4 linked regions of the Notamacropus eugenii genome follow. The protein of the gene in region 1 binds, or shares a complex with, the protein of each later gene. Links are inferred from orthologs where the notes say so. Each region holds a gene or a part of one and is shown in the gene's direction. Other genes may lie near its edges. The genes, in order: CNOT9, CNOT10, CNOT1 and CNOT8.

The links.
Region 2: CNOT9 (region 1) and CNOT10 share a complex: the UniProt entries of both Homo sapiens proteins name them as parts of the CCR4-NOT complex. The link is inferred for Notamacropus eugenii from reciprocal best matches to the Homo sapiens genes CNOT9 and CNOT10.
Region 3: the proteins of CNOT9 (region 1) and CNOT1 are in contact, whole or in part, in a crystal structure (PDB 4CRU), measured with the Homo sapiens proteins. The link is inferred for Notamacropus eugenii from reciprocal best matches to the Homo sapiens genes CNOT9 and CNOT1. Residues at the interface, in NP_005435.1 of Homo sapiens: Arg19, Glu20, Tyr23, Ile26, Asn27, Ser30, Ser31, Pro32, Arg35, Pro54, Met55, Trp57, His58, Ser59, Phe60, Gly61, Ile63, Ala64, Ala65, Leu67, Gln68, Val71, Asn72, Tyr74, Pro75, Ser76, Ile77, Asn78, Pro79, Thr81; in NP_057368.3 of Homo sapiens: Ile1415, Ala1416, Thr1418, Thr1419, Gln1422, Ile1423, Lys1426, Asp1427, Phe1428, Met1444, Asn1447, Leu1448, Gly1451, Met1452, Met1454, Ile1455, Arg1458, Glu1459, Tyr1548, Gln1549, Arg1552, Met1553, Pro1554, Gln1556, Ile1557, Leu1559, Val1564, Lys1567, Gln1568, Leu1569.
Region 4: CNOT9 (region 1) and CNOT8 share a complex: the UniProt entries of both Homo sapiens proteins name them as parts of the CCR4-NOT complex. The link is inferred for Notamacropus eugenii from reciprocal best matches to the Homo sapiens genes CNOT9 and CNOT8.

What each region holds. Positions count from the first base shown.
Region 1 is NC_092877.1:317,094,517-317,101,576, forward strand, and holds the start of CNOT9 (CCR4-NOT transcription complex subunit 9), read left to right. Parts: upstream 1-4,051; 5' UTR 4,052-4,184; coding exon 4,185-4,301; intron 4,302-6,860; coding exon 6,861-7,040; intron 7,041-7,060. UniProt on the Homo sapiens protein: Component of the CCR4-NOT complex which is one of the major cellular mRNA deadenylases and is linked to various cellular processes including bulk mRNA degradation, miRNA-mediated repression, translational repression during translational initiation and general transcription regulation.
Region 2 is NC_092874.1:22,783,881-22,791,564, reverse strand, and holds the start of CNOT10 (CCR4-NOT transcription complex subunit 10), read left to right. Parts: upstream 1-4,682; 5' UTR 4,683-4,744; coding exon 4,745-4,971; intron 4,972-7,684. UniProt on the Homo sapiens protein: Component of the CCR4-NOT complex which is one of the major cellular mRNA deadenylases and is linked to various cellular processes including bulk mRNA degradation, miRNA-mediated repression, translational repression during translational initiation and general transcription regulation.
Region 3 is NC_092872.1:715,395,938-715,402,955, forward strand, and holds the start of CNOT1 (CCR4-NOT transcription complex subunit 1), read left to right. Parts: upstream 1-4,013; 5' UTR 4,014-4,476; intron 4,477-7,018.
Region 4 is NC_092872.1:383,230,867-383,238,734, forward strand, and holds the start of CNOT8 (CCR4-NOT transcription complex subunit 8), read left to right. Parts: upstream 1-4,857; 5' UTR 4,858-4,946; exon of another isoform or gene 4,947-5,188; intron 5,189-7,868. Other genes in the region: FAXDC2 (fatty acid hydroxylase domain-containing protein 2), read right to left, coding at 3,994-4,143. UniProt on the Homo sapiens protein: Has 3'-5' poly(A) exoribonuclease activity for synthetic poly(A) RNA substrate. Its function seems to be partially redundant with that of CNOT7.

The sequences.
Region 1 (7,060 bases):
AAAGATTTGGCCTCACATGTACTTACCCCCAATGACTGCAAGCTTGTTATGAGGGCCATCCTCATGCCAGGAGAGATGGTAGTATGGTTAGGGATGTTTTCTGAAGAATGCAGATTAATGGCAGTACACCATAATCCTGATAACCCTCAAAATGCTCAAAGATATTATGAGATGTTATTCGGTGGTGGACAGTATAGCACAGATAGGGCACAAATTCAGCACCCTGTGGAATTATATGAGCGGCTTGCACAATGTGTAGAGAGGGCTTATGACAAGTTGCCAGTTAAAGGCAAAAGTAAAACTTCATTGAGTGCCTTAAAGCAAAAACCCAGTGAGCCTTTCGCCGACTTTTGTGCAAGAGTTCAAGATGCTGTGACAAAGATCATGGGGGAAGTAGAAGGGACTGTAGTTGTAATCAAAGATATCTTGAGAAACAGTTGTAATACAGACTGCAAAAAGGCCATGACAGGATTGAAAAAGGATGCTGGGTTGGAAGAGATGTTACAAAGATGTGAGATAGTGGGTAGTGAGGTCTATGCTGCACAAGTTTGAGCCCAGGCATTTCATGATGTAAAAAATAGGCCGACTGAAAAACCAGACAAAAAATGCTTTCAATGTGGCAAGTTGGGACATTTCAAAAAGGATTCCAAAGTAAGGCCGATACAAAGTGGGGGAGCAAGACCCAAGACACCCTGCCCAAAATGTAGAAAACCGGGGCATTGGGCATCAGAATGTCATAATGGCCCACCTCAGCAATATTTAAACACCCTAACGGGCCCCTCCCCAGCCCAGGAACAAAGGGGAGGAATGGGCTTTCTACCGCCCTCTGCCAGCCAATGGCAGGACAATCCCAATGCCAGCACGATGGCACTCCACCAGAGATATCAGGAATTGGCAGGAATACATTCTTTCAAATAGAGGACCTACATAGTGCTGGATATTTTTCTATTAATCCAATGAGTACAGTCATGCTTCCCATACAGGAAAAAATTAAGCTTAAACCAGATAGCATAGGAATATTGTTAGCACCCACAACTCATGAATATACAGGCATGATACCCATAACACATATATTTCCACCTGATATCAAGTTTCAATATATTCCAATGATGAATACTACTAATATGGAGAGTTTATTAGATGCAGGACAAAAAATAGCAGTGTTATTACTATTTCCAAAAATGGCAGATTCGCAAGTATTCTTAACACAGCAAATTACTCTGGAGAGGCCATAACTTACAGTCATTATAGAAGGGAGGAGATGTACAGGCCTCATGGACACTGGGGCTGATTGTACAGTCTTTCCTTTAGAGCAGTGGAATTCTGCATGGCCTGTAGGGCAAACACAAAATTTATATGGTATAGGAGGTGTTCAGGCAGCGGTTGAAGCAAAACGGCCGTTGAGATGGGAATTTGAAGGAAAAACAGGAAAGGTTTGGCCACATGTATTACCAGGACTCCCAGTCATTCTATGGGGTCGAGATCTGTTGTCACAAATAGGCCTTACCATATCTACAATAGAAAATTTTTAGTGGGGCCCCCTGAAATGGCTGCACAACCCATACCTGTTCCACAATTACAATGGATCGATGATGAACCAATTTGGGTTGACCAGTGGGCCTTGACTGATGATAAAATAGCAGCCTTAAAGGAGATTGTCAAAGAACAACTTAGTTTAGGACATATAGAGGAATCTTTCAGTTCTTGGAATTCACCTGTGTTTGCTATTAAAAAGAGATCAGAAAAATGGAGAATGTTAACAGACCTAAGAAAAGTTAATGCATCCATGCTTACTATTGGGTTCATTACAACCAGGACTTCCTTCACCAAATATGATACCAAAAGATTATAAAATATAGGTTATAGACATTAAAGATTGTTTTTACAGTATTCCTATTCATCCTCTGGATCGACAGAGATTTGCTTTCTCCATACCTTCCATCAATTCACAGGAACCCTATATGAGGTATCAATGGAAAGTACTGCCACAAGGTATGAAGAATAGTCCTACATTGTGCCAATGGTATGTGCATAAAGTGCTTCAACTTATGAGAGAGAAATATAAGGAGGCCATAATAATACATTACATGGATGATATTTTGGCAGCACACAGAGATGGTGAACTGCTAGAAAATATGTTACAGGAAGGGATACAAACTCTTAGCAAGCATGGGCTACAGGTAGCACCAGAAAAAATACAGAAGGCTCTACCAATTAATTACTTAGGATATAAGTTATCAGACAGAGAGATTCAAGTTAAGTTTCCAAATTTTGATGTACAAAAGGTCAAAACTCTGAATGATTTCCAAAAACTGATAGGAAAGATTCAGTGGTGCAGGCCAAGGCTTGGTATCTGTACCTCTGCATTAGCACCACTATATGAATTATTGAAAGGCTCTCCTGACCTTAATTCAAGTAGGGATTGGACCCCTGAAGCTCTTACATGTATTAAGAATATTCAAAATACTCTCATACAACAAACTACTCAAAGATGTGATAAGAGAGAGAAAATAAATTTAACTATACTTTTCACTCCAAACTTACCAACTGGGGTTTTACATCAGCAATTAGGAATCCTTGAGTGGATTCATTTACCACAGGTAAAAAACAGAACATGTTCTCCTTATACAAACCTAGTGGCTAAGGTGATTTGGAAAGGCATACAGAGGGCACGAGCTCTTAGTGGTATGGACCCTGCAAGTATTTTTACTTCCTATACCTCTCAACAATTAGAAAAATGTTTTATGGAAGATTCAGATTGGCAAATTATAATTGGACAGGATTATCATCATGGCGGTCCTGTGCCATTTGCTGATCAACTCACTGCATGGCCATGGTCTTGGTCAGACAAGCATTCTGAGTCGCCTGTAGTAGGGATCAGTGTTTTTACAGATGCCACAAAACATCAACGAGCATCTTTATACATACCATCTGAAAAGAGGTTACAAGTGTTTGAGACATCATTTACCTCTACTCAACAAAATGAACTGTTTGCTGTGCTTCAAGCTCTTTTAATTGATGTCCCTATTAATATTATCACAGATAGTAAATATGTATCAGGGTTAATACCCAATTTAGAGACTGCCTATATTCCTACACGTCAGGATTCTATCACACATCTTACTTTAGAAGCACAAAAGGCTATTAGAGGTAGATTTAATAAATTCCATGTTTTACATATTCGATCACATTCTAATTTACCAGGTCCCTTAACTGAAGGCAATGCAATTGCTGATGAAGCCTTGCAAGTTTTTCATGCGGAGTCATCTCCAATATTAGCTCATTCCAAATCTCATTTGTCTGCATGATCTCTTAGACATTTATTTGGCATAACAAAAAGGGAAGCAAGGCAGATTGTAAAGGCGTGCACCCAATGTGCTCCATTTCTTCCACCACCACCTATATACTCAAAAAATCCTATAGGTGACTGCCCAAATGATATTTGGCAGATGGATGTCACTCACTATTCATCATTTGGATGTTCTCAATATATACATGTATGTATAGATACTTTTTCAGGCTTTCTTATGGCAACTGCTCGCTCTGGTGAAGCAGTCAAAGATGTGACAACTCACTTACTAGCATGTTTTGCTAATCATGGAGTGCCAAAATGTTTAAAAACAGATAATGGCCCAGCCTATATATCAGCTGCATTTAAAAAATTCTGCTATGAATTTTCCATCTATCATGTTACTGGCATTCCTTATAACCCTACAGGCCAAGCCATTGTTGAAAGGGCAAATCGTTCCCTCAAGGTTTACTTGCAAAAAACAAAAAGGGGGAATTACACAAGGCCATCAGGCATCTCTCAATTTAGCCTTATACACATTAAATTATTTAAAGTTCAATGATAAGAATCTTTCAGCAGCCATGAAATATGCTATTGCTATAAAAACATCAAGAGGAACTTCACTTCTAGAAAAAACACAAATAGAGAATGAAGGAAAACCGGCAATGTGGCGTGATGCAGAAGGACAATGGCATGGTCCGGGAAAAATAATCATATGGGGAAAGAGTTATGCTTGTATTTCCACAGGAAAAGAGAAAGAACAGTGGGTCCCAGTACGCAGGCTTCGGCTGATAGAAGAAAGAGACAATGGGAAGAAAATCACAGGGCAAGAGACTGAGAGCAGCAAAGCGGAGAAAGAAGCTGGAAGAACAAATAAGGAGTCTTTGTCTTCAAAATGAGGAGGTTGATTCTGTTTCTCTTACTGACTCTTGGGGCTGGAGGACGTCCAACTCCGACCCAGGAGACAAGTGGGAATGCACATCACTGGGCGTTCATCCCGAATCCTCCGTGGGTGAGGGTCATAAGATGGGGTGAAAAGATACCAACACCAGTATTACATGGCAGTTTGTCACACATGTTTGGGGGTGCAGGCTTTGAATTTATAGGTAAATCAAATGGTTCACAGCCAAGAATGAACTTTACTAGATTGATCACAGGATTACCGCTCTGTCTTCAAAAGAAGGTTGATGGACGATGGAATGGCACTGCATGGGTTTTTAATGATATAGCGGCCGATATGACATGGTGTGCAAACATAACTCTGGGACATGAGACTTTGGGTTATCGAGGGGACTCTAGACTCTTTCACCTATGGACTTGGGTCATTGAGGGACAAGATATGGATCTAAAACGAGAAATAAGTTTGAGATATAGACCATATTGTACAAAAATGGATGGGGCACGAGACATGGGACAAAAATGAGAAGTGATTTTTAGATTTGGGCCACAACGTGGAAAGAGGGATGATCCCAATGTCTCCATTTATTGTAATTATTCAGGTTTTGTACCATTTGAAGATTGTCAGTCACATCAATGTCAACAGACTGTGTTATTCTTAGAGCATTATAATAAGAGCCTTATTTCCTGTCACAACCTATCGTATTTTGGGCCAGATCGCTATGTCTCAGGATATCCTAGTCCTAGATATGTTACTAACAAGGGTTCTTATACAGCAGGGATTGAACGGGTGATTGCCACTATTGGGGGACAGACAGTATAAGGTTTTGTAGGACCATTTATAATTGTAGCACCAAATGGTACTATAATTACAAACCGTATTAGTCTTACGGCGCGAGTGTGTTTAGGATCATCTCATGCCTTTATGTGGGATCGTACAAGTCAGTCTACACTCGTGCCACATATGAATATGACAGGGATATTCAATTTAACTTGTCCGAATTGTTCGGTACATGAATGCATAGGGCCACAATTTGATAAAGGAAGGCTTTACATCATTACTAGGCCAAAGTATGCACTCACAGTAGTGAAAACACAAGGATGGTATCGCACTCCGGCTGACAATATTATGTCAGTATTAGATCAAAAGACAGCAAGTTTGATGTGATTCAAAAGATGTATCTCATGTGTAGTGTTAGGTATAACCTTATTAGTTGAGCTAATTGTTAGTTCTACTGCTCTCGCAATGTCTGTCTCTAACACGCAGAATAGTGTCCAAGAAGCGAGTGCTCTTCATGGTCTCATGCGCAATGTCTCAGAAGGATTTCAATGTCAGGCTCAAATGGATAAGGAATTTTACAATGCTGTTCGTGCTTTACAGAAAGCAGTACTGTTCTTGGGACATGAAGTTGCATATCTAGAATTACAAGCAAAGTTACAATGTGATTATAGGTATAATACTTTTTGTCTTACTCCAAAACAATATGATGCAACTGAAATAGCATGGGAAAAGATTCGGGCTCAATTACAAGGTGTAGTCAATGATAATGTGACCTCAGAGCTCCAACAATTGATTCAATTGGCAGAATATATCAGTCAGGCTTCCCATGAAGACCTACTTCCACAAAAAACTGTTCAACATATCTTAGATTTTTTCCAACATGCTGATCCCTGGCACTCACTAAAAACTTGGCTAATTTCATTGGGATCAGGATTACTAACATTGCTTATATTAGTTGCTATTATACCAATATTATTAAAGTGGATATTGTTAACAATTCGTAATTCCCTCTTCTCCACTAAGCATACCGTGCTGGCTATGAAAGAACAACTGTACCAAAACAAAAAGGGGGAGTTGTAACGGGACGAATTAGAGCTGACCCCTGTCCATCGCAGGACTCCACACTGAGAGCCTGCCTAGATAACCTGGGGGCTTGTCAGTAGGGGTGGAACTAGATGGATTTCAGGAGGAAGGGTCTCGTCTTTTTTGGCAACGTGGCAGTTCTTTGTCCAGTTCCGGATGTCCAGTGGAGAAGATACCCATATAAGGAATAATGTTAGGTGATAGGTTCAATGTATAGGCTTAGGAATGTTCACGTAATTAAGACTATATATGCATGTGAACTAGCTGGAATAAACGGAGTTCTCACCACCTTGTCTCCCACCTCATTTCATTATTCACTAGATCAAGGCCTCTTGCTGGACAAGAGCCTTGGGTCGGGGTTTAGGGATTCCCGAAATGGTCTAGGGGACCCCAACAGGAAAGGAATAGATGGGAGTCTAAAAGTATATCTTTTCAAAGTCTATCACTGACTTAATTTTGCTTCAGAGTAAATCAGTTTCACTCTTAAGTCCTATGTTTCCACACCTATAAAATGGTGTCAGTAGCCTACCTCTGGTAGACATAGGTATCAGAAATAGTTTAGAATGTTATAGCTAGATGGCACCTTAGAAATCATTTTTTTCAAACCTCTCATTCTCCCATTTCACAGATGAGGATTCTGAGAAGTGACTTTGCCCAGGTCATACTACTGCTCTAACAGTTATAATTCCCATCAGCCAGTTGACACTTCCCTTCAACTCAAGTATTGAATCACGTGCATCTAAGTTTGTTTCTTATGTACAGCTGGACATTAATGAAACTTCATTTCTGTGTATGCTCTTGCCCTTTAAGCCTGTGCCCACAGCATTGGCCCAAGTGGATAGAGAGAAGATCTATCAGTGGATCAATGAGCTATCCAGTCCGGAGACAAGGGAAAATGCTCTCCTGGAGCTGAGTAAAAAGCGTGAATCTGTTCCTGACCTTGCTCCTATGTTGTGGCACTCTTTTGGTACTATTGCAGCTCTCTTACAGGTAGGTATATATTGGACAGT
Region 2 (7,684 bases), on another chromosome or scaffold:
TAGACATATTTTTAGGGAGCTAATATCATCAAACCTAGTTTTAACTTAGTTCTATTTGTGCCCTCTGCTGGTAGAAAGTGCTAATAAACAGGGACATGGAGGGCCTCTCGGAAGATTCACGTAAGAACTTTTTTGGTGGTGAGAGCTCTGTGTGCTCACCTGTCTTCACATGTCAACATTACAGGTGCATGTAGAAGAACAGATATTAGGAAGAAAGGGCAGTGGTTTCTGAATCGAAGGAGCAACTGGGTGGCTTACTAACTATGTGAACCTGGGCAGGTTCTTCTCCCGGGCCTCACTTTCCTCACCTGTACCTAATCTGCTCAGCTGAAGCCATGGGGGCAGGAACCTTCATTCCTCACTGGTCCTGGGGAAGCCTGACTTCCTGGGGGTAGGGGTGGGGAAGCAGGCTCCCCATTCTCACATTTCTTGGCTCATAAGTCCCAACCATGGCTACTGCATGGAAAGGTGTCAATCAAATGAATCGTTTCAGCTCCAAGGTCTAAGAGGTTCCCAATGTGCAAACATGAAGGGATAAGGCAGGTGATTTATTCCTACTCACAAAAAAAGGAAGGTTGAATTTAAAGGAACCAAAGTATGCAGTAGCAAAAAGATTTGAGTAGAATTCACTAATTTAACTTATTTCTAGAAGCATAGTCAGCTTAATATTCAAATACGTTGGCATTGAACAGAGCTTTTTTTTTCTTTTGCCGGAATCTAGTTAGCTACATTACATTTTGTCTGGCATTTATTCCAACCAAACAACCAAGCTCGATTTTCTTTCCCAGTGGGCTCTCTCAGCCCTGCTCTCCACTTCTACTCTGGGGATGGTGCAGCCCTACAAGGAAGACCTTCTGCCCTTTGGAGACTCAGAATGTTCTTGCTTGGCCACCTGGGTACATAAGAAACACATAAGAGGAAGGAAAAGGCAGCCAGGAATCCTGACTAGGGATAAACTAGACTAGTTGAGTTGAAGTGGTGCCCCTCCATACCCATCATTACCCTCACTGGAATCACACACTGTTTATTGAAGGGCAGAGAGAGACTGTCTCTCTTTTTTTAACAGGGCTCCAGTCTGGCAGCCAAGTCGACAGCTGGAAGTCAGCGCCCCTCCCCCAACACTCACGCTGCAGGTGGGGAGGGGTCACATTACATGTGAACCTGGTAAACCTAAGATGACCTGGAACGTTCTGAATTCGAATTCAGTTCTGAATTTGAGGCTTTTATTCCCGTTTCTTTTCTCATGTGGAAACAACCCCAGCAGGGGGCTCCAGCAAGCTACTAAAAAGAAGGCTGCTCAGCATATAAAATGACAGGTGGTACCTGCTATGTAGTCAATGCAGAGGGAAGAATCCTAAGTTTCATAGAATTAAAGCTTTTTAATGCCGAGGGCTGTTTCATTGTGGTTTTTGTATTCCAAGAAAATAGCACAGTGTCCAGCACATAGCAGGAGCTTAATAAATGCTCCTGATCATAAGTTCAGTCATTTTAGTCATGTCCAACTCTTCATGGCCCCTTTGCGGGTTTTCTTAGCAAAGATCCTGGAGTGGTTTGCCATTTCTTTCTCCAGCTTATTTTACAGATGAGAAAACTGAGGCAAACAGGGTTAAGTGACTTGCCCAAGGTCACACAGCTAGGAAGTATCTGAGGCTGGATTTGAACTCAAAATTTGAACTTGGGCCTCGCTGTTATAGTTCCAACAATATAGCACTTTACATTTGTCTACCACATCATAGTAATAATGATCACTGAGGATGCAAAAAAAATTACCCCAAACATTGCAAGGGGAACCTGATAGGAGACCTTTGGAGATCTTTTTTTCTCCGAGACAAAGAGGAGCAGAGTGGAGAAGTAGAGGGCGCCCCAACTTCAGAGTCAAGAAGCCTGGAGGTCGTCACTCCTTTGGGAAGCACACTGACTCCGTGACCCTGGCCAGGCAAGCCCCTTAATTTAACAGTGTCTCGGGTCACTCTGAAGCGGGAGGGTGCTGACCTACATTGAGAAGGGATCTTTCTTCATTACCAAGCCCCCATGTGAGTCAAATCACAAATCTGGTAAGAAAACATCTCCAAGAGGGCAAAGGGTTATCAGGAGGGTAATAATGGTTAAGCATGTCCCAAAGGCTTCAGTTTTCAAAGTGCTGTGGATGTGACTTGAGTATTATTGTTGTCCTTGCTTTAATGATGGGGAAACTGAGATTTGGAGGGACGGAGTGAAGGGCCTACAGTTCTACAGTTAGAACAATGGGTAATATCAGTAGCTTGGCTTATGATGCTGCTTCCATGGGAAAATCCACCTGTGACGTACCATGGAGCTACAAAAATGGAAATTTAAAAACCAACAGAGCACTTACATTCACATGAAGTGGGGGAGTTACCTCAAGAAACTTTACATTTATTTCAGTGTCTTGACATGGCAGAGCTCGGTTGGGGATTGCAAATTCTCAGGCTTTTTCAGTTTGGAGCACAGATTGCCAAAGACAAGCTAGAGCTGATGCCACCAGGGGAAGACTGTCAGTTTCAATCTCAAGTGATTCAACGCCGGCCTCCTCGGCTTCCATGATTCTGGGAGCTTTTATCACAATTCTCACACCACTAATACATGCTATGGAAGGAGCCTGAACATCTTTGTGCTAATGTAATGAGGAAAGAGTCATAATACTAAGTAATGTTTGGATATGGCTTTAAAGTCTGCCAAACACTTCACATCTATTATCTCACCTTCTGCTCTGTGTGGCCTCATGGAAACCAAGAGCATTTGGATTCTGGTTTCTCAGATATGTGACTCTAGACAAGTCACTTCCTTTCTCATCCTCACTTTCCTCTCTTGTAAAGTGGAAGTAATAATACTTGTCACAGGATTGTTGTGAGGATCAGATGAAATCCTGCATGAAAAAATGCTACCGAAAAAGAACTTGTAATGATTAAAGTCTGCAGACCACATTTACGAGTGTACTTACAGATTTAGAGGCAGAAGGGACTATGAGGTCAGCAGGTCCAACTTGTCTCATTTGTCAAGCCCCAGAGATGAAGTGAGGTGTTCAAAATCAAAGCAAGTGACAGATGGGATTCGAACTCAGGACTGCTGAGCCAATGGTTTCTCCACAGTACCAGGCTTATCCACCTTGCAAAGTCTAATACTATATAAAAGACAAATACAGAACCTCAGTTTGCGAGTAACCTAGTTTATGTATGCTTTGCTGGACAAGGAAAAGTTTTTCGCAAAATTTGTCTTGCAGGACGAACAAAAGTTTGCAGTACGGACATCATGTTTGGACTTGAACAGCTCACAAAGGGATGGCGCTCAGCTAATGTGGTTTTGGTTTTTTTTTCCTTTAATCACTTTTTAAAAATACAATTTCAACTCAAAGCAGCTATCTTTATTCCACCGCAGCCCCCCAAAAAACAAGAAGTATCGTAAGATAGAGTCCTAGTCGGAAGCCGATCTAAAGAAAAATCAGTGAAAATTAAACGAAGGCAGTCATGGTAGCCTTACTTTCGGTGAGAGCACCTTAAGAGAGAACACTCCTCTCCTTCCAAGCAGCAGCCCTCCCTCTTCTTCCTCCCTCTCCTCCCTCTCCCAGCAGCCACCACTTCACAAAGGTAGAGGGAAGGTTCATTTACTTTATTGGCAGCGATACTGCGTGCTCATCATGGCTATCGTATTTCAAGCGCATCGGGGACAAAAAACGTACTTAAAATTGTAAATAATTCTGTGTCTAAGCATACTTCTGGGGCCATGGTACCCATCGTCCCACTTTACGGTACTTCGTACAGGAAACGGCGCTTCGCAATAGGGACAGACGGCGTGATGAACGACTGGTCAGCCGAGGGTCCGCCGCCACTGACCTGGCATCACCCCGAGAAGCCGCCGCGGGGCCCCGGCCCCCCTGGGGTCCCAGCTCTAAGGCTCGCTGCTTCTCCTCCTGCGGGCTGATCCTGCCCCCCCAGCTCAGCCCCGGACTTTGGGGTGCGCGTACGCCGGGATGCGAAGCTCTCAGAACAAACACTGATGGTCCCCGCCCCTCCTCAGGCCCTTCTCCAGAAGGATCCCCGGAGGGTCTGCACGTAGGAAGGAGTTTGGGGCGCCCAGGCCCCCCAGGGGTCTCCCGGAGGCGCTGCTTTAGCCCTCGCTCCGTGACCCAGCCAGATGGAAAGGTGGCTGGTAACGTGGACACGGCGAGGCTTCCCCGCCGAGAGGGCGCTCCCGGGGACTCTCCCGGACAGACCCGCGGCCCCCCACCCCACCGGGGTCTGACGTCCCAGGGGACCCCACTGCAGAGACTGGAAGCTCGCCCCAGTCATCCCCATCCACAGTCCGTGGAAGACACGAAAGAGCGCTTCTTAAGTGCCCGCGGGCGCGGGGGACGAGACACAGAGAGTAGGAAAGGCCTCGGCCCTCCGGGAGCGCCCTCTCCGGGCGGGGTAGGCCCCGGGAAGCCGCCAGCGAAGGCGGTCAGTCACCGTCATCAGAACGTTAAGTCCAGCCAAGCTCATCCCGCAGGGGCAGCGCCCAGAGCCACCCCCTCCTCTGTCCGAGGCGGGGCCTGGGGGACGTGGTCACGTGGTCGGGGGAGCCCGCCGTCTCTGACGTAAGCACCACGAGGCGTGGTCTCGCCCGCCGTTCCCACGCTCGCCCCGCCCCTCCCGCGACCTCTCCTCTCGCCCCGCCCCCATCTCCGCCGCGCGCGAAGCACCCGGAAGTCGCGTGTCAGGAAAGGGGGAGGGGCGGCTGCCGGCGGTGGATGGCGGGAGGTCTTCGCACAGGCGCCAACAGAAAAGCAATCATCCCGCTGCGGGAGCGGCCTAGGGCTTGTGGCCGCTGGTCCGCGCTCCCGCCAGGGCCGCGGCGAGGCCCGCGAAGGCTGGCACCGCAGCGAGTCGGCGGTCGCCCCCGCCGGAGTCCCGGCTGCGCCGCTGGCCGGGAGGCGCGTGAAGCGGGCGGGGAAGATGGCAGCGGACAAGGCCGCAGGTGAGGAGGGTTCGGCCCAGCGCTCTGGGGCGCGCGCGGCGGAGGAATATGAGTGTTCTAGCTTCGGTGCGGCGGTGACTGCGCATGCGCGAGGGAAGGACGGGATCCATGCGCGGCGAGGAAGTCGCATGCGCAGCAGTCCCGTCCTCGGGCGCGTCGCGCCCGCCGAGTCCACAGTTCCCCGCTTCTCTTCCCCGCCTGACCGGGGTTCAGCCGCCCCTCGGTGACCCCGCCGAAGGCACCGCCTCCTCTGGGCCTCAGTTCTCTCCTCCGGAGGCCCCTTGCCACTGTGACCTTGGGGGACGGAGGCCTGTGTGGCCTCCTGTCCTGGTCAATGTTGGGGAGGTGGGCGGGTCTCAGACTCCGTTTCCTCTTATGTGAAATGAGGAGGGGGCTCTCAGAAGTCCCAGCGATGCCTTCCCTGCTCGTGGCTTTGGAGCTCGATCCATCCTTCTGAAGGCTGCCTTGGCTAAGCCCCCACTGTGCGCCCGGCCGCCCCACTGGGTGCCGGCCCCCCCCCTTTTGCGCCCGGTCCCCCCACACTGTGTGCCCGGCTCCCTCCACTGGGTGCCCGGCCCCCCCCACTGTGCGCCTGGCCCCCCCACTGTGAGCCCGGCCCCCCCCCTTTTGCGCCCGGTCCCCCCACACTGTGTGCCCGGCTCCCTCCACTGGGTGCCCGGCCCCCCCCACTGGGTGCCGGCCCCCCCACTGTGCGCCCGGCCCCCCCGCACTGTGCGCCCGGCCCCCCCCACTGTGAGCCCGGCCCCCCCCCCTTTTGCGCCCGGTCCCCCCACACTGTGTGCCCAGCGCCGGGGCCCTGCTCTGGGCTAGCCCCATCCCACAGTGCTGTCGACGCTCACCCTACAGCCGTGATCAGAAGGACCTCGGTGGTCCATTGTCAGGAGTAAAGAATGAGATATACCTAGTGAGCGCCCCGCCTGTGCCAAGGCTTCGGAGCCCTGCTCTCCACTCCATCCCTAATTCAGTTCCTCCTGCCTGCCCCTTTTGGAACTGTCACCATCCAGCACCCTTGGCAAGGAAGGCCCTTTCACAGCACTTTGGGGCAGTATTCTGTATTCAAATTGGCCGTGTTGGTTCTTCTGCCCACAAGCATTTAGATGCCTGTTCCGGGCCCTGGGGCTGAGACAGCCTCTTGTTGCCAGGAGCATGCCTTCCTGTGCCTGAGATGACGGAGATGCAGGGTGCAAGCGGATGGTGGTGCCCCAGCTTTTTGCGGATTAGGAGAGGCTTGCGTCCCAAGTCTGGGGGCAGGTGACCTAGAACAGTGTTGTGGGTGAGGATGGATTGCAGGGGGGAAGAGGGAGTAAACATTCAGTGAGGCTGGAAAGATAGGTTGGGATCAGGTTGGGGACTTGGTCTTTGCCCCCACTGGAGTCTGATGGGCGATTGACACGCTCAGAACCGCATTTAAGGAAACTCACTGGGGCATAGGGGTCTCCAGTGACCTGAACTGAGCTGCAGCAATCTAGATTAAGGGGTCCGAACTCGTAGTCTGTGGCTTTTTTTTAAAGCAACTTTTTTGAAGCAGTATACAAATATATAAAAATTCAAATGCTTCTTTTATTATTGTATTTTATTTTTGGTATTTAAAAAAAATTTCTTTTCTGAGATGGGTCCATAGGTTTCACCAGATAGCCAAAGGGGTCCATGACCCAAAAAAGATGACTGGAGTTGAGGTCCTGAACTAAGGTGTTGGCTTCGAAGAGAGAGAATGGCCTACAAATAATGTGGCATTCATGGAAGTGACTGATGGGATACATGAGGTGAGGGGAGGAAGGCATTGAGGCTAATGCTGAATTTGGAAGACTGTTAAAATCAATCCGTCAAGAAGGCTGGTGTAGGGGTATCTGGAAGAGGGAGGGATGCATTGGGGGAGAGGGAGAGACATTGAATGATACCTGGGATGTCCAGTTTGAAATGTCCAGTTGGTAATATTGAATTGAACCTCATTAGGAACGGGGACTGATTTTTAGATCTGAGTTATTTGAGTAGATATGATAACTGAACCCATGTCAGTTGATAAGAAGCCTAGGACAGAACCTTGGGGCACATTCCCAGGTTGTGTGGTGTGAATGGAGAGCCAGCCAAGGAGACTGAGGAGCAGCCAGTGTCCATCCAGGAGGAGCTAATGATTGACAGTATCAGAGGTAGGTTAAGAAGCAGGATTGAAGAAAGATGCACATATTTGGTTATTAAGAGATCCTTGGTAACTAGAGAGAGAGTAGTTTGAGTACAGGCTGTAGAGGGTGAGAGAAGTGGAGATACCCAAAATGGAGCTGGGAAGAGGAACAGATATGTAGGACATTGTAGGTTCTAGTGAACGCATCTGTTTTTAAACAGATGCGTTCACTAGAACCTACAAATCCATCTGTTTTTAAACTTTGGAAGACTTGGGCATATTTGAAGTCAGTTGAAAGGAATCAGTAAAATAGGAAGAGGTTGAAGATTTGAGAAAGATGGAGGTTGTAACCTGCTGGAGGTGACAGGAGGAGAGGGCCAAGAGCATGTGCACATACAGAGCTTTCTCCTGACTCCAGGGAATCCTTGCGTGTGAGTGCTGGACACACGATGAAAAGCATTGCATTGTACTACCAAGCATGCTTTATTAACAGCCATTGAAACAGTGTTGCTGTTCAAGTGATAGAAAAGCATGTGTCTTTGTGGTGATAATGGGTAACCTTGAGTTGTTTCA
Region 3 (7,018 bases), on another chromosome or scaffold:
AGTTTGAGAAAGAATATAGGCAGCCTGCTTCCCCTCCTATTGCTGGCTCAGTGCTGCTTGCACCTAAATCTCCCATACACCATCAGTCATTAGTATCCAGGTAGCGATTGCATTTAAACTTCTTGAATTTCAAGTTTCCACAGAAGGGATCCAAGTTCAGTCAATATTTTTTATATACTGACACTTAGAATCAAAGTATAGGGTTTTAGTTAAGCTGATACCAGATTATGTTCTTCTTTCACATAGGATGTAAGAGGGATGTGGACACCACTTTTATGATGCCTATCATAAAATTATCATTAAGCAGGTAGGGGGCAAAGTGAATGGAACTAAAGATCTGGAGTCTGGAATTTGAATTTGAATGCTATCTGAAACACTTAGTGAGTGTGAGCCTGAATGAGTCACTTAGCCTCTGTGTGACTCAGTTTCCTCATCTGTAAAATGGGGATAATCATAGCATCTACCTCTCTGGGTTGTTATGAGGGTCAAATGAGAAAACGTAAGTAAAGCGCTTTGCAACCTTAATGCATTCTATACGTTCCAGATATTATTATTCTTTTGTCTGTTTCATTTTTTGTTGTAATAGAGTTGCCTGTGTCCATAGCTGGGTGCCTTCAATGTATTTCACTCCCTCCTGCCTCAGAGACTTTGCTCATGTCTTTCCACCCATATGCATGGAATACCATCCCTCTTCCCCTCTACATTTCTATCACTTCTTGCTAAAATCCTTCCCATTCTTCAAGGACCCACCCAGCCAGCTTAAATGCCATCTTCTCTATGAAGACTTCCTAGGTTTTCTTGTCTTCTTATGAAATCTCATCATAGTTTAGCATCCAGGGGTGGGGAACTTGCAGCCTTCTAGGTCCTTTTGACAAATCCTTTTATTAAGGGGGGACAGGCTACCCACCCTTGGTTTAGACCCTTTCCCCCTGAAACTTATCTCACCTTCTTTGTGTTGTAGCAAATTATAATTTATACTCCTGCTTTTATAAAGGGGATCCAACTTTGGTCAATATTTGTCATCTGTTGGCACTTGGAAGCCATGTATGGGGTCTGATTTAAACTAACATCTGATTATTCCCTATGCTCTACCAAGCTCTGTGTTCCCTGAGGGCAGGGACCTTGCCTTATTCTTCTAGGTTCCATTCCCCTACACAGTCTCTTCTTCAGTTACTTAAATCTTTATTAAACAAATATGTCTTATCCTCTCAACTATTTAGTTTATCCATCTATCCATCCACTCATTCTGTCATGGCCCTCTTTTAGAACAAAGGACAGGCAATAAAAACAACATTCAACAGATATTTATTGAACAGCTGCAGTGTGCACAACACCATGCTAGTTGCTAGCTAGGCAATACAAAGCTGAGATTCCAGGTTTCTGTTTTCTTGGAGTCCACAGTCCATTAGTAGGGTAAGACACCCCTTAGGAAATTAGTACAATGCTTTGCTCATAGTATGCATACACCACGGTCAAAGAATTCATTACTTAGTTGGTTATCACCTAGCTGGAGATGAGCATTATTCTACTTAGCTAGGCTGGTTCTTGGACAATAGCTACTATCCATCCTAGGGCTCAACTAGAAACCTTTGCATCTTAGTAGAACTTCCCATAACTTGTGTTCCATTGCTCTAGCTTTCGAAGACTGGGTGTCACATTCTGCCATTTAAAACCCTTTACAAACTGGCAGCTAGGTAGTGCAGTGGGTGGGTGGGGCAGTGGTACAGTAGCTAGCATACTGGCCCTGGAGTCAGGATCTAGGCTCAAATTCAATCTGACACTAGCTATGTGATCCTGAGCAAGTTACAACACTGTTTGCTTCAGTTTTCTCATCTGTAAAATTTCTGGAGAAGGACGTGGCAAACCACTCAAGTATCTTTGCCAAGAAAACCCCAAATGAGGTCTCAAAGAGTTGGACACAACTAATTGATTAAATAACAAGGTTATTTTTGGGGGGCTCTGATAATTCTTGGTGGCTTCATGCAGCCAACGAGCTAGTTCCAGTAAGCTTCTTGCTGTCCCTTAGAGAAGCCGGTCCATCCCCTTTCTCTGGACCTCTGTGCTGTCTCTCACTCCTCGCTTCTGCCTCTTCTTTTCAGATGACTCAAATCCCACCCTCTGCAGGAGGTTTTCCCCCACCCTCCAGGCTGCTGGTGTCTCCTCCTCTGGGATTTCATTCCATCTCCTCACTATCTGTCTTCTGGTTCTTTACATGAGATCTCTCCCATTGGAATGGGAACTCCATAGAAAAGGGAGTTCCTACCTTTGTTTGTATCCTCTACCCTTAGCTAATGCCTAGTACACAGGAAGTGTGTAATAAGTGCCTGAGTACTGACTCTTGCCTCTGCCCCATGATGAGCATCATGGAGTCATAACCATTTGTTGAAGCCATGATGGTGTACCCTAGAACTATGAGTTGTCAGTGAATGTCAATGAATGCTAATCCGGCTTCCCTATTTCAGAAATGCTTGTCTCTCTGGCTCATCATATAGGACGCTGGACCTGGAGTTCAAATCCAGCCTCAGATGTTTCCTGGCTGGGTGACTTCACCCCTTTTCTGCCTCAGTTTCTTCAACTGTAACCTGGAGATGAGAACAGCACCTACATCCCAGGGCTGCTGCGAGGATCCGATGAGATTACATTTGTAGAGTGTTTTGTAAATTTCAAAGTCCCATACAAACTGCTATTATTATTATTGTTTCCAAGCAAAAGAAACGCTTAAAACAAAACAATGGGAGGAGTGACTGGGTGGACAGCCACCTTTCATGAGTCTTCCCCAGAGAAGATGGATAAAGAAGAGATTGTACCTGGAGCCTGTGCAAAAGGGACTTTGGGAGTGGGGTTAGGGGTGGGGTGCTGGGCGGAGAGTCTCCTGGGACAGAGCCATTCTCTGCTGGGGATGATGTTGGGGCAGGTGGGAGTGCTCCTAACAAGTGCTCCTCTGGAGGCCGGCTTTGCAGAGGAGCTGGAAGAGGGTCAAGGAAAGAGCCCTGGATTTGGGGTCTACATCTTAACTCTGGCTACCTCCCATGGCCAGGTCACCTAAGCTCCGTTTACTCCTCTGTGGAATAAGGGGACTTGTTGAATTGACTTGGATTGGGTGTGTGTGTGTGTGTGTCTCTGAAGTCCTTTCCAGCTTTGGCATCCCAAAGGCAAAGGATCCTTCCCAGTCTGGTGACTTTGGACAGGTCCCCTTTTGGAAAACAAGAGGCTTTGACTGGCTGATTTGCAAGGTCTAGCTCTCTCAGTTGGTATTTCTGAGGATGTTTAGGGGTCGCTTTACAAGGAGGAGACTCCACCTAGACAGGATATGGGGAAGACAGGTAAACTAGGGCAGCCTCCTGGAACCTTTCTCTTTAAAGGCCAGGTGTAAAGCACAACGGACTACAGCTCCCAGCATGCCTCGCTCCAAAGACTACTCCCCCTACAACTTTTAACCTCTGGGGAAACTACGTATCCCAAAATGCAACGCGCAAGCGTTCGTTCCTCCACCCTCCCTCGCCCGAGGCTGCGTTGCATAATGGGAAATGTAGTCCGGAGATGGGGGGCAGTCAAAAGGAGGTATTTGTAATGGGGTAGCTCGGGAGTGGGGATGGCCCTCATGACTTCAAGAGAAGAGAAAGCGGGGAATCCAGACTGTCACTTTGATCTCTTGAATGGGGGACCTCTGAGCTGTGTTACTCTCGAAAGAAGGGAGGGGAGAAAAATCCTATGGGTGCAAAAGAAATTCCCGCCTGTGGGCATTTTATTCTCCCCACGTCCCCCTCGGCTCCCTTCCTCTTCATTTATTGTTGCTCAGGGATGCAACGCCGCGATCCTATTGGTCAAAGCTCTCGAGAGCAGGCGGGATGTTCGAGAAGCCTCAAATCGAAGCATAGACATACTCTCATTGGCCCGATTCACGAGCGCAGGCGCGAGCGGCCTGACTCCAGCTCCCGAGGGACCGGTGAGCGGCCATTGGCCAAGGCCCGCGAAAGATTAGTTTGGATTGGTGGTTGATAGAAAGAGCCGGGCTTCTTCCTTACTTTCCTCGAGTGATAGCATGTGATTGGTTTAAATCCGCGGTCCCGGATCACTGATTGGATAGAAGTCACAGGTCTGGAATCGTGATTGGTCCAGTTCCAGGACCTCCCGCCCCGAGCAGGCAGCGAATGGTGAAATGGAAACGGGGAGGGGAAAGGCCGCGACGTGAGCGCGCGACCTCCGGCGCCATTTTGTCGAGAAACAAGCGGAGTTAACCGAAGAAGAGAGAGAGGGAGAGAGAGGAAAGAGAGAGAGAGGAAAGAGAGAGAGAGAGAGAGAGAGAGAGAGAGAGAGAAAGGGAGTGAGCGAGAGGGAGAGAGGAGAGAGGAGAGAGAAGAGAGAGCGAGCGAGAGAGAGAAAGAGAGAGAGAGAGGAGGGGGAGGAGGGACGAGGAGAGGGAGAGCCCGGGACCCAGGAGCCTGCCTGTGTCCAGCGCCCCCGGAGCCGCCTGAGGTGAGCCCGGCCGTAGGGGGGGCCCGGAGAGTCGCCCGCAGCGTCAGCTCCGGAACGCGGACGCGGGCTGGGGGAGGGGAGCGAGGTGTGGGGGGGGGCGTCCCGTGGCCATCGGAGGCGCCTCTTCCCGGGCCGCGGAGGGAGGCGGGTGGGGAGGGGAGGGCCCGGGACCCGGCCCGCTCCTCCCCCGCTCGGGGACCGGCGGGAAGGCCCCGGGGCTGGAGAGCCGGGGGGCCGAGGCCTGGGCCGGGCCGCGCCGCCGCCCCGCCGCGCCGCGCACGCTGTCAGCGCCGGGGGCCCCGTGGGGCCGGCTTCCCCTGGAGAGGAGGGCGGCCCCCAGCTGGTTCTCCGCGACAGCCGCGCGTCCCCACGTCCACGCGCGCGCGGACGCGCACTCACACAAACACACACAAACACACTCACACGTGCCGCCCCCTGCGGGCGGGACACTTGTAGGCCTCGGTGCGGCCGGAGCCTCCCCTGGACGCGGCTCCGAGGGGACGGCGCTCCCCAAAGGGCCTACTGGGTGCCAGTGCCTGAGGCCGCCCCCAGCCCTTGCTCCTTAGCAGCCAAGTCCCCTGGCACCAAGTGCCTGCTGTGTGCCAGCCCTTCCGGTCTCTGCCTGGACTTCGCCTTTGGTAGTAGAGAAAGCAGCCAGCGCTTAGTGAGGGCCCGGCCGTCAGGTCCGCCTACTGTGTGCCAGGCCCGGGGAACAGGAGGAAAAGCAGAAAGGGGAAACAAAACTGCTTGTCATCGATCGGAGGGAAAAGGAGCCTCAACCCCATTGCTGGGGAGCTCCCCCCCGTTCTTGTAATAAGTGAACCAGGGAAGGGGAGTCTCAGAACCCCCGGGACCCTCTCCCCTTGGGTCTGAGTGACAGCCCCTTTTCTCTGCTTACGGAGACGTCCTTAGGCTGCTGGAGAAACGTTGGATACTTTGGTTACAGTGAGTGAGGATACAAAAACTTAGAACATTAAAACTGACAGTTTTTGTGATTCGGGTGAGAATTATTTATCTTGCAAAGACTTAGCAGAGGGTTAATGTTACTGTTAATGGCTCCCCTTTCCGGAGACTGGTACTTGTTACATTGTTTTTCTGAGAGAATGAAACTACTTCTTTGCAGCTCCAGGAGGCTTTAGACCTTTGTGGAGTATCTCAGCTCTAACGCAAGCATTTTGGTAAAACTGACTTGAACATGCAGGCCTTTTGGCAACAACGTTTTGGGTCCTAGACTCTTCAGAAGAAGTTTAATAAGCTTTAGGCACCACGGTGGAACCATCTGCAAGGGGTAGCTCAAGTTGTTGTCTTCACTCCCAACCTTTCAGCTTCAGATAGAAGACCTTGAATTTTTTCAGCATCTTGAAAATGCCAAATCTTCTGTTATTTAAGATATAATTTAAATGAAGTGGCCCCTTAACTTCCTCCCTCCCCCCAATATCCTTGACTAAATTTAAAAATATAGTCTTTTTCTCTAAGGTAATCACAGTTTTTTTAAGCCAGATACTGAGTTGTGGATCTTATTGCCTAGTTTTATACTTCCTAAAATTTGTGACCTCCCAGAATTCAGACAAGGTGTCATTCTGTAAGGAAGTCAGGAAATTTGTAGCATTCTTTCCAAAAGAGGGAAATTTATTTGGTAGAATATCAGTAGTATGCTTTTAGGCAACTTTTTTTTTAAAAACAAAACTGAGCATTTAAAAATATTTGCACTTCTGGAAGTAAAAAGTGGTATGCTGCCATTTTAAAATGGCCTCTTCAGGAATTTAGTTTATTTTTTATCGTAATAGAATAAAATGTGATTTTTCAGGAATCCTTAAAAAATGTATTGACTGATGTACTGACATTCTAAATTTCTTCATTTACTATGCATTCCTGACCTTATTCTAAGTCCTCAAACTAGTCTGAAGTTCTTGCTGGGAAACTTCAAAATGGCATCCTATTGAGACATCAATCTCAGCTATGGAGATAGAAAAACCAGTAATGCTCTTTCTGCTTAAATCTTGAATCTGAGGTTAACTTTTAAAAAGCAAAGGTTAAGGATAAAAGTGATAGAGGCGCTTTTTTTTAAAATTTGCATGGTCTCAAGTGTGCCTCATATTTTAAAGTAAAACCAAATAAACTGAATTTGACCTTTGAACAATGTTCTGTGTAAGTAAGCTTGTAATTATAAGTAGACTTCTAAGGATTTTTGAGCAAATTGCTGCAATTGAAGAAAAGCAGGAATGTGAGGAAGTTTTATTATGACTATAATATAGTTACTGCTTAAAACTAGAGTAAATATTTCTGGGTTCTTTCAGTGCTTGTCATAGTTACTAAAAGACTCCTAAAATGTTAAATGGATCTATAACAAGTTGCAGGAAAGTTTTTTTAGTGTTAGAATTTCTAACTGAAATTTACCCATGTATTCTCAGTTTTTACTTTTTGCAGCATTTACATCTGCACAGATGTATTTAGGAAGGCCTCACAGCTAAACATTTTCTGTCATCCAGACAACTAATTTAGTTGTAGGTTAGTAAGTTATTATTTGTAAGTTGGTAAGGAT
Region 4 (7,868 bases), on another chromosome or scaffold:
TTGGTAGTTGCCCCCTCCCCTTTCTGCTGGCCCCTTTGAAAAGGTTTGTTAGGGAATATTGTAGTAACTCTCATTATCAGCAAACCTTCTGAGAAGACTAGACTAGAGTAAAGGTGATTATTAACCCCTCTGACAGTGTCTGCCATTTTGACTGGATCAAGAGGTTGGAGTCCCAAAACTCCAGTGCCTCCCGTGCATTATTTGTGAAACAGTTTAAGAATGCGAAAGGATGGACTTATAACTCAGATAAACATTACAGAATGCTGAAGCCAGAAAGAATTTGAGGACACAGTTGATCAAAGTGAAACAAAAAGCGACCTTAGAGATGCCCTGATTCAACCACTTCATTTCACAGGGGAGAGAGTTGAGACCCACAGAGTGGAAGTGATCTGGTTTACCCATGGCAACACAGAAAGTTGAAAACCTGGGACTAGAACTCAGGTCTCTTGATCCTTGATGCTCTATTATGTCTATCTTAACACATTGCTTCTAGTTTTATTTAAAGTAGATCCTTTAAAGAAGAGCATTCCTTATAATTGAGTAGTAAAGATACGTACTTAGAAGATGTGCTATTTATGATATTTGTAGTGGAAAGAACTTATGTAGCAGAAGATTTGGATTTGAGTCCCAGATCTGAAACTTAGTAGTTCGCAAATCTCTCTCAGCATCATTTTCCTCATCTATAAAATGAAGGTAATACATTACCTATGCTAAAGATTGCTGTGAGGAAAGCTCTTAGTAAATTTTAAAGTTATTACAGAAACATGAGCTATTAATATATTATATATATATATATATATATATACACATATATATACACACACATATATATACATGTATATATATATAATATTGTGGAATAATATTTTAAGGGTTCCCATCAAAGAGCTATTAGACTCATTTCTCCCAAGGATACATCTAAACCTTGGTAACCTGAGGTCTGTGAACTTATTTTAAAAAATATTTTGATAACTGTATTTAAATATCCTTGTTTCCTTTGTAATTTCATGTATTTAAAAACATTATTCTGAGTAGAGATCCAAGATTTCATTAGACTGTGAAATGGGTCTGTGACATACAAAAGTTAAGAATTTAAGATCTAAATAGTTGTTTTTATGTGTGCATCAAAATGACTGTAACAAAATCTACTGCCTAACTGAAAAGAAAAAAAAAGACACTCCCACACTTACCAAAGAACAAGATATTTGTGAGTTTGTTTTTAATGTATCTAAAAATGTACAAGTAGTTCTGAGTGATGGGGCTGTAATGGAGGACAGTGAATTTTCTGTTTGATTGTCTCCCAAAGAAGGCTGTTAAATTGAGATTGCTGCAGCCAGCAGCCCAAAACAAAATAAAAGTCATAAGAAAGGGCTTGTTCCTCCTTGTAAATAGCCCTTGGCTGGCACAGACTAATTCATCTACTGAATCTTATTAAAGGTGAGCAAAAGATAATGTAACATCTATAGACCTGACTGGGGAAAGGGGAATGTTTCTCTGCCTGACACTCTAAAAGTTAAATTTCTCATTAAAGAAGTCTTTTCTATTATCCCCATAGGGAAAAAAATATGCAGACAATGGTGTGTGTGTGTGTGTGGTGTGTGTGTGAAGATCCTAAGAGCAACTAAGTTGAACATAGCTCCCTGTTGGTAAGAACAGAAATAAGGGCATGATGGCAATATTTTATGGTCAAACTTCTTTGACATTACAATTGTACAGGCTTTTTTTATATTACCACTCATAAGGCAATATGTTCCTAGGCTTTAAGATTAGAAATTGCCATTTGCAGTCTACTTTTCACCACTTGCATACATAATGTGTACATAGACTTATACTTTTATATATGTACAAAAATGTCCATATATATTACATATATGTAGACTCCTTGTGATTTTATATATTTTGCAACTGACATTTTTTGTTATGTGTACTTGATTTATTCAGTTATTAATTGCTGAAATATTGGTTTATGGGGGAAAAATATTTGAAATCAGGACTAACCTGGAAGATCTGAGATGGATGATCACTTTTGTCAGGAGGAACAGATGTAGGACTGAAGGAACTGACGCATTTTGATGGCCCACAGCTCTAAATAAAATACTGATGATCTAGGTCTAGTGCATTGTTCCAACCATTGTGGAGGCTGTTCGGGATCTGCTGTAGGTGCTGTGGTTTGGGACCTGTTCAGAAAGTTCGATTTGGAGACCTTCAGGGGCTTTTTGGGGTGGTCTAAGCTGGAATTTCTATAGAGAACATGCCCAAGAAATAAAAACCAGCCAGTATAAGCACTTTTGGTTCAGTGATTGATTGGTATGGAATTTCTTTGCTCTTCTCTGGATAAGGGTCTGGGGTGGGGTGGATTACAGAGAAAGTAGGTGGTCACAAATAGCTGGCAACATGATTCTTGGACTGATCCCGGAGTTTCACTGATAGGAGGTAGCCCTTTGGGGATGTTTTTCAATGCTCTGCCCAGTCTTCAAGTGAGTTGATTTTATTAAAGCAATGTCAGTGCTGGCACCTGTTCTCCAAACTGAAATTTGAAAATCCTGGTTAAAAACTGCTTAGGGTCTAGAACAGGACTGCACAACATATGGTCAAAGGCCAGTTGCAACCTGCCAAAGGATTTCAGGTGGCCCACAAAAAATGTAGGGAATGTGAAAGATAAAGATGTAACAAGTACTTTGTCCATGTGCCCCACTTAACCTGACTTCCACTAGTCACTACTGTGCCCATTATGTAACTTGGAAAGTGGGTTGCCACTGCATACTCTCTTCTATTTGTCATGAGACCCAGGGTAACCAACCATCATCAGTCTGTCTAGTCTGAGAGAAAGGGAGTCGTACCTTTTCACTATGTTTTCAGTCATTACTGGTGATGGGACAAAATGAGTGCAGCCATGAGCCAATGCAGCTAATGCCTGCTATGCAACGAGCGGCAATAACAAGGCGTTCTTCCCCTCCCTTGCTGTGCAGTCGCCCTGCAAGTTACACAAGTGTCTGGCGCTCTCTCCAAAGTCAGACACTCAGGTCAGTATTTCTTCATATGTGAGCAGTTGTGAAGTTTTGGTTGTAACATTAAAGTTTTTGGGGTGACTTTGTAAAATGGGTGATAAAAAGAAATGGAAGATCGAATCAGAATACAGAATGTTAATGTGGAGTGGGCAAATAGATAGTTTATTTACACAAGACAAAATATTGTGCCTTGTTTTCTGAGAAGTAATTGCTGTTCCAAAGGAATACAGTCTTCCTAGCCATTTTGAATGAAAACATCCTGACTTAAGCAAATTGGACACCAATGGAAAAAAAAATGAAAGCATACAAATTGTTGAAAAATCTCAGCGAGGAACAACAGTTTTTCAAGAAAGTAAACTCAGAAAGTGAAGCGGCTACTAAGGTTAGTTTTCAGATTCTAAAGAAATTGCTGCTGCTAGGAAGTCTTTTACTGAAGGTGACTTCATGAAGAAGTGTTTGCTGACTAGTTTTTGGATTATGTCCCGATTAAAAAAAAGTTTTTGAGAAACAGTTTAATCATTAATTATACCTTTACTTGGAAAATGAGCTGTTAAAAGCCTATTTGTGACCTAATGAAATTCAGCCTGTTTTAATTTTGGCCCTTACACACTGCCAAGTTGTGCAGGTCTGGTCTAGAATTCTAGTGCTTAGAAGGAATGAGGATAGTCTTATGGCCCTAATTGACTTAGAGCTTTGTTTTCTGTCTGAGGGCCCACAGTACGCTGACAAGCGGAGTCAATCCAGAGAAGGATGCCCTGGTTGAGAGACCTGGACCTTAGAACCAAGGCCCAGTCACAGTTACATTGCTATGGTAAATGTGCAGCATCCTGATCAGGGTTAACGGAAGGAGCTGAGGATGTCTGGATAGTAGAAAAGCCTTAAGGGGGCCCATGATGACCATCTTCCATCAGGGGTAAGAGATGAAATGTATTCAGCTACACCCACCCTGGGGAACAGAACTAGGTCCTAGCAAACGCTGGCTCACCCTGACGACGCGCTTCCCGAGCTCTCCACCAGACCAAGGCAGGGGTGAACTGTCCCTGCTCTCCAAGTCTTCACGTAGAGTCAGTCTCCCAAAGTGCACGAGGCTGTTGAGCTCTGAGCTTGGGGGTGGGCTGGAGGAGGGGGCTCTCATCAGAAGGCCCTCTATCCACGTTGTCCGAGTCTGTCACTTTCTTCGATCCAAGAGGAGAAAAAGCCGGGGTGGGGGAATAGCGCCATCTCCGTTGTCAAGGTAACGCTGCTTCTGGGTCTCGGCCCGGTTGGAAAGGTGTTCCCCTCGGCCGGCCCGACTCCTCGCCCCAGAAGCGTTCGCTGGAGAGCCACAGAAACCGCGGGAAGGTAATGGGTTTTCTGCGGTGTTTTTTTTCTAGGTGGGGGGCACCGAACCGAGTCCAGGAATCTGTCTTCCTGTGCAGGGACTAGGACGTTACTGGAAGAGGTGTCCATTCCTTAGCATTGCAACGGCAATAACGGTCATTCAAGGCCAGTAAAGCCAGGCGGGAAAAGGACCACGAGGGGCTCCCGCCGGAGGTGCGAGGCCACGCCCCGCCGCAGCGTAGTGGGCTCAGAGCCACGCCCCTCTCTGTCCTCGAGCCGGACGCCGGCGCTAGGCGGGAAGAGCTTCGTGGGGGTGTGGAGGGGATTATGACGAAATCTCCGGTCCTCGCGGCGCTTCTTCGCTGAAGAGGCGTCGGGCCTTGTCCTCCGCCAGCGTGCTCCAATGCCTACCCCTGCCACCCCACGCCCCGTCTTCTTACTCGCCATAGTTCCAGCGCGCCGGCCTCGTGGCCCTGCGCCTGCGCACACCTCCCTCGGAGAGCACGGGCTCGGCGACCCCGCGAGAGGTCGCTGGGGCGCGCGAGGGGGCGGAGCTGACATGACCGATCAGGCGCGCTCGCGTCCAGCGTGACGCAGAGGGATCTGGGAGGAGGCGAGGTCGGAAGACTGAGCAGGCTAGAGTAGCCGGGTCAGGAAGCGTGGGTGGGTGGTGCATAAGGTCCCGGTGCTATCTCGTTGTTGCGCTCGGTGCTGGGAGCAGATCCGGGGCAAGGGCTGCCGGCGCGAGGAAGGAGGCAGGCCGGGGGCAGCCTCTTCCTCCTACGCCGCCGCCCCCCGGGGAATCTGTCCGCCTGTCTGCGCACCCCTACGTCCGCCCGCTGCGGGCCCTGCAGGCCTAGGTGAGCGGGGCCGGGTCCCCTGCGCCTGAGGAGTCTGGAAGGGAAAGTGTAAAGTTAAAGCCGGAGAGTTGGGGGAGAAGGGAGCATTCATTGTCCGGAGGAGGAACGGGGGATGAAAGTTTGAGGTGTAGACCCTGAGGAAGGAGAGCCGCCTTGTTTACGCCCCTCTCACTCTCCTTAATTGTTACCATTCTCCACCTTTTCTCCATCTACCTGCGGCCAAAGCTGAACCTTGCCGTGGAGAAGCAAGCTGGTTAGGTGCCCATGCCAGCTCTGAGAGGGGCAGGGTTGGGGCTGCCTGGCACGGAAGCGTTGGCAGAAACTTTGTGTACGTGGTGGAGAGAATACCGCGGGCGTCCCAGTAGCCCCTTCTTGTTTAACAAACATATTCAACCGGCGGATCTGTTTCTCCTCCCCCCCCCCCCCGCATTTTTTATTTAACGTCCGTATCTTGGATAGCCTTGTCCATCAGTGGATGATTCCGGAGCTTGTGGATAGTTGTTTGCGTTGTTTAACCAGTGCCCGAACATGACTCATTCCTTTCCTTCTGTAGAAGGCGCGGATGGGCTGCAGTCTGCAGTGATAGGAAAAGGACACCCTGTGGTCTTGGACCCTTTCGTGTACTTATGTACTTAAGCAATGTCTTGATGGATTTATGTTTTCTATTTTTAGGCATAGGAAGCCTTTTGAAGAATGAATTCAGTTTTTAGTAATAGGCTTAGGGTGAGACTTGATCCTTGATGTCTTTGCTTTAAGGAACCTTTTAAAACTCGCATACTACTGCATTTCATAGATGTTGGTGTAGTAAATTATTTTCTTGGGTAAGATGCAGGAAACACTAAATGTAATTAATGACTAGAGATAACATTGAAAACCTCAGAACTTTTTTTCCTGAACTGGAGTTATAAAACAATAAGGGGCTGAGAACCGCAGCTATTCCTTCTTCCCCAATGAGCAGACCCCATTGGACCCCTTTTAAGTAGGTATGTGAGAGAGCCTGGTGATGTGGCTTCAGACGAAATGCTTTCTACTCTTCCATTCTTAAGCTTCCTCCCGGATTTGAGCGTCGAAACAAAGGCATTTTTAGTTGGACTACCTTGTGTTGCCTCTGTCCTTAAGTGACTTGTTCCAGGCTGTTCCAGCTGGCCCAGACAGTAGTTTAACTGTAATCGTTGAAGTGGAGTGATTGTGTATTGTTTCAGTTACTCTGGAGAAATAAGGCAGTGGATTAGTTTCTGCAAACGTGAAACTTTAACCTTAACATAGTCCTAATACAGAGCTGGATGATTGTGATGGTAAACTCTGTATAAACTTCAGCTGTTATCAATTATTATCCTCAAACAGTTCTGTAAAATCAGGGCAGATTTTGCTACTTTATTTTTATAGTTTAGGAAATTTAAGTCTGAGAGATTGTTGATTTGCCCGAAGTTATACAGATGGTATGTAGCAAAGCTAGAATTCTAACCCAGGTCCCATCTCCAAATCCAGTGTTCTTTCGATTATGCCATAAACTACTTGTTTCATCACGAGCACTAGTTAGAATCTGAACCTCTGTGTTAATTGACCTTGATTCTAGCAATTTGGTGCATCTCTCAGCAAATCAGACTGACTCTTTTTATCTCGCTTCATTTGTTCATTCAAGCTGTCTTTATTGAGTTCATGTTTTGGTGTGGGTACTGTGTAGTACTAGTGGTATTGGCGGAGCGGCTTTACGCTAAAGGAAGTAGAAATATCACCACCCCTAAGTAAGAGTATAACTAAATGGGAAGTCAGCACCTGACCAGGGAATGATTTAAGAGTTCCTTAAGAACATACAAGTATAAGATATTGGATAGCCTGTGCATGTAAGTGTTAGAAGGTTTTGTGTGGGAAAGGGAAGGGGCTAGCTAATTAGAGTCCACTGGGGTTAATCCTTGTATTCTTGAAGATTAATCTTGAACATCCATCTGTGGTGCTTCACAATGCAAACTTTTATTCTGATTCAAATCTCTACTGGAACACCTATCTAATTTAAATTTATAGAGTAAAAAAATCTTCCTGGACTTATTTTGGGTTAGTACTAATATAAATTTGGATGTTACTAGGCTAGGGACTTTGCCTATACACTGAAAGTTCTTTATAATGCTGCACTTGGATATGTGTATAAATCAGCTTTACAATAAAATATTTTTAGTACTTCTAATAATTGAATTCTATTGTGGACCTACTTTCAGATGACTATTGCAGTATAGTGATTGCAATATGGTGAATAGTGTTAGGTGAGATAATTTTTTTTAAGTTTTACTTATGTGTTTTTACATTATAAATATTTACAGATTATCCCACTCTATTAGCTATCTCTTGTAACAAAATAAAAGTAAATTAAATAAATAGTGACCTCACCTTAAAATAAATAAATAATAAAATACGTCGGAAATTGTATCATCCCCCCATATTTTTAAGTTGTTTTTCAGTGACAAGAAATCTATCTTCTCTTCCTCCTATTCCCCCACCCCACTGGAAAAAATAAAAATTTCTTTTAATCATATGATCAAACAAAATAAATTCCCTCATCTCCATACTATATATGTGTGTGTATGTATGTGTGTGTATGTATACACACACACACACACATATATATGTATACACATATAAAGAGATATACGTATAGAGACAAACTCAATTTTTTGTACTCTAAACC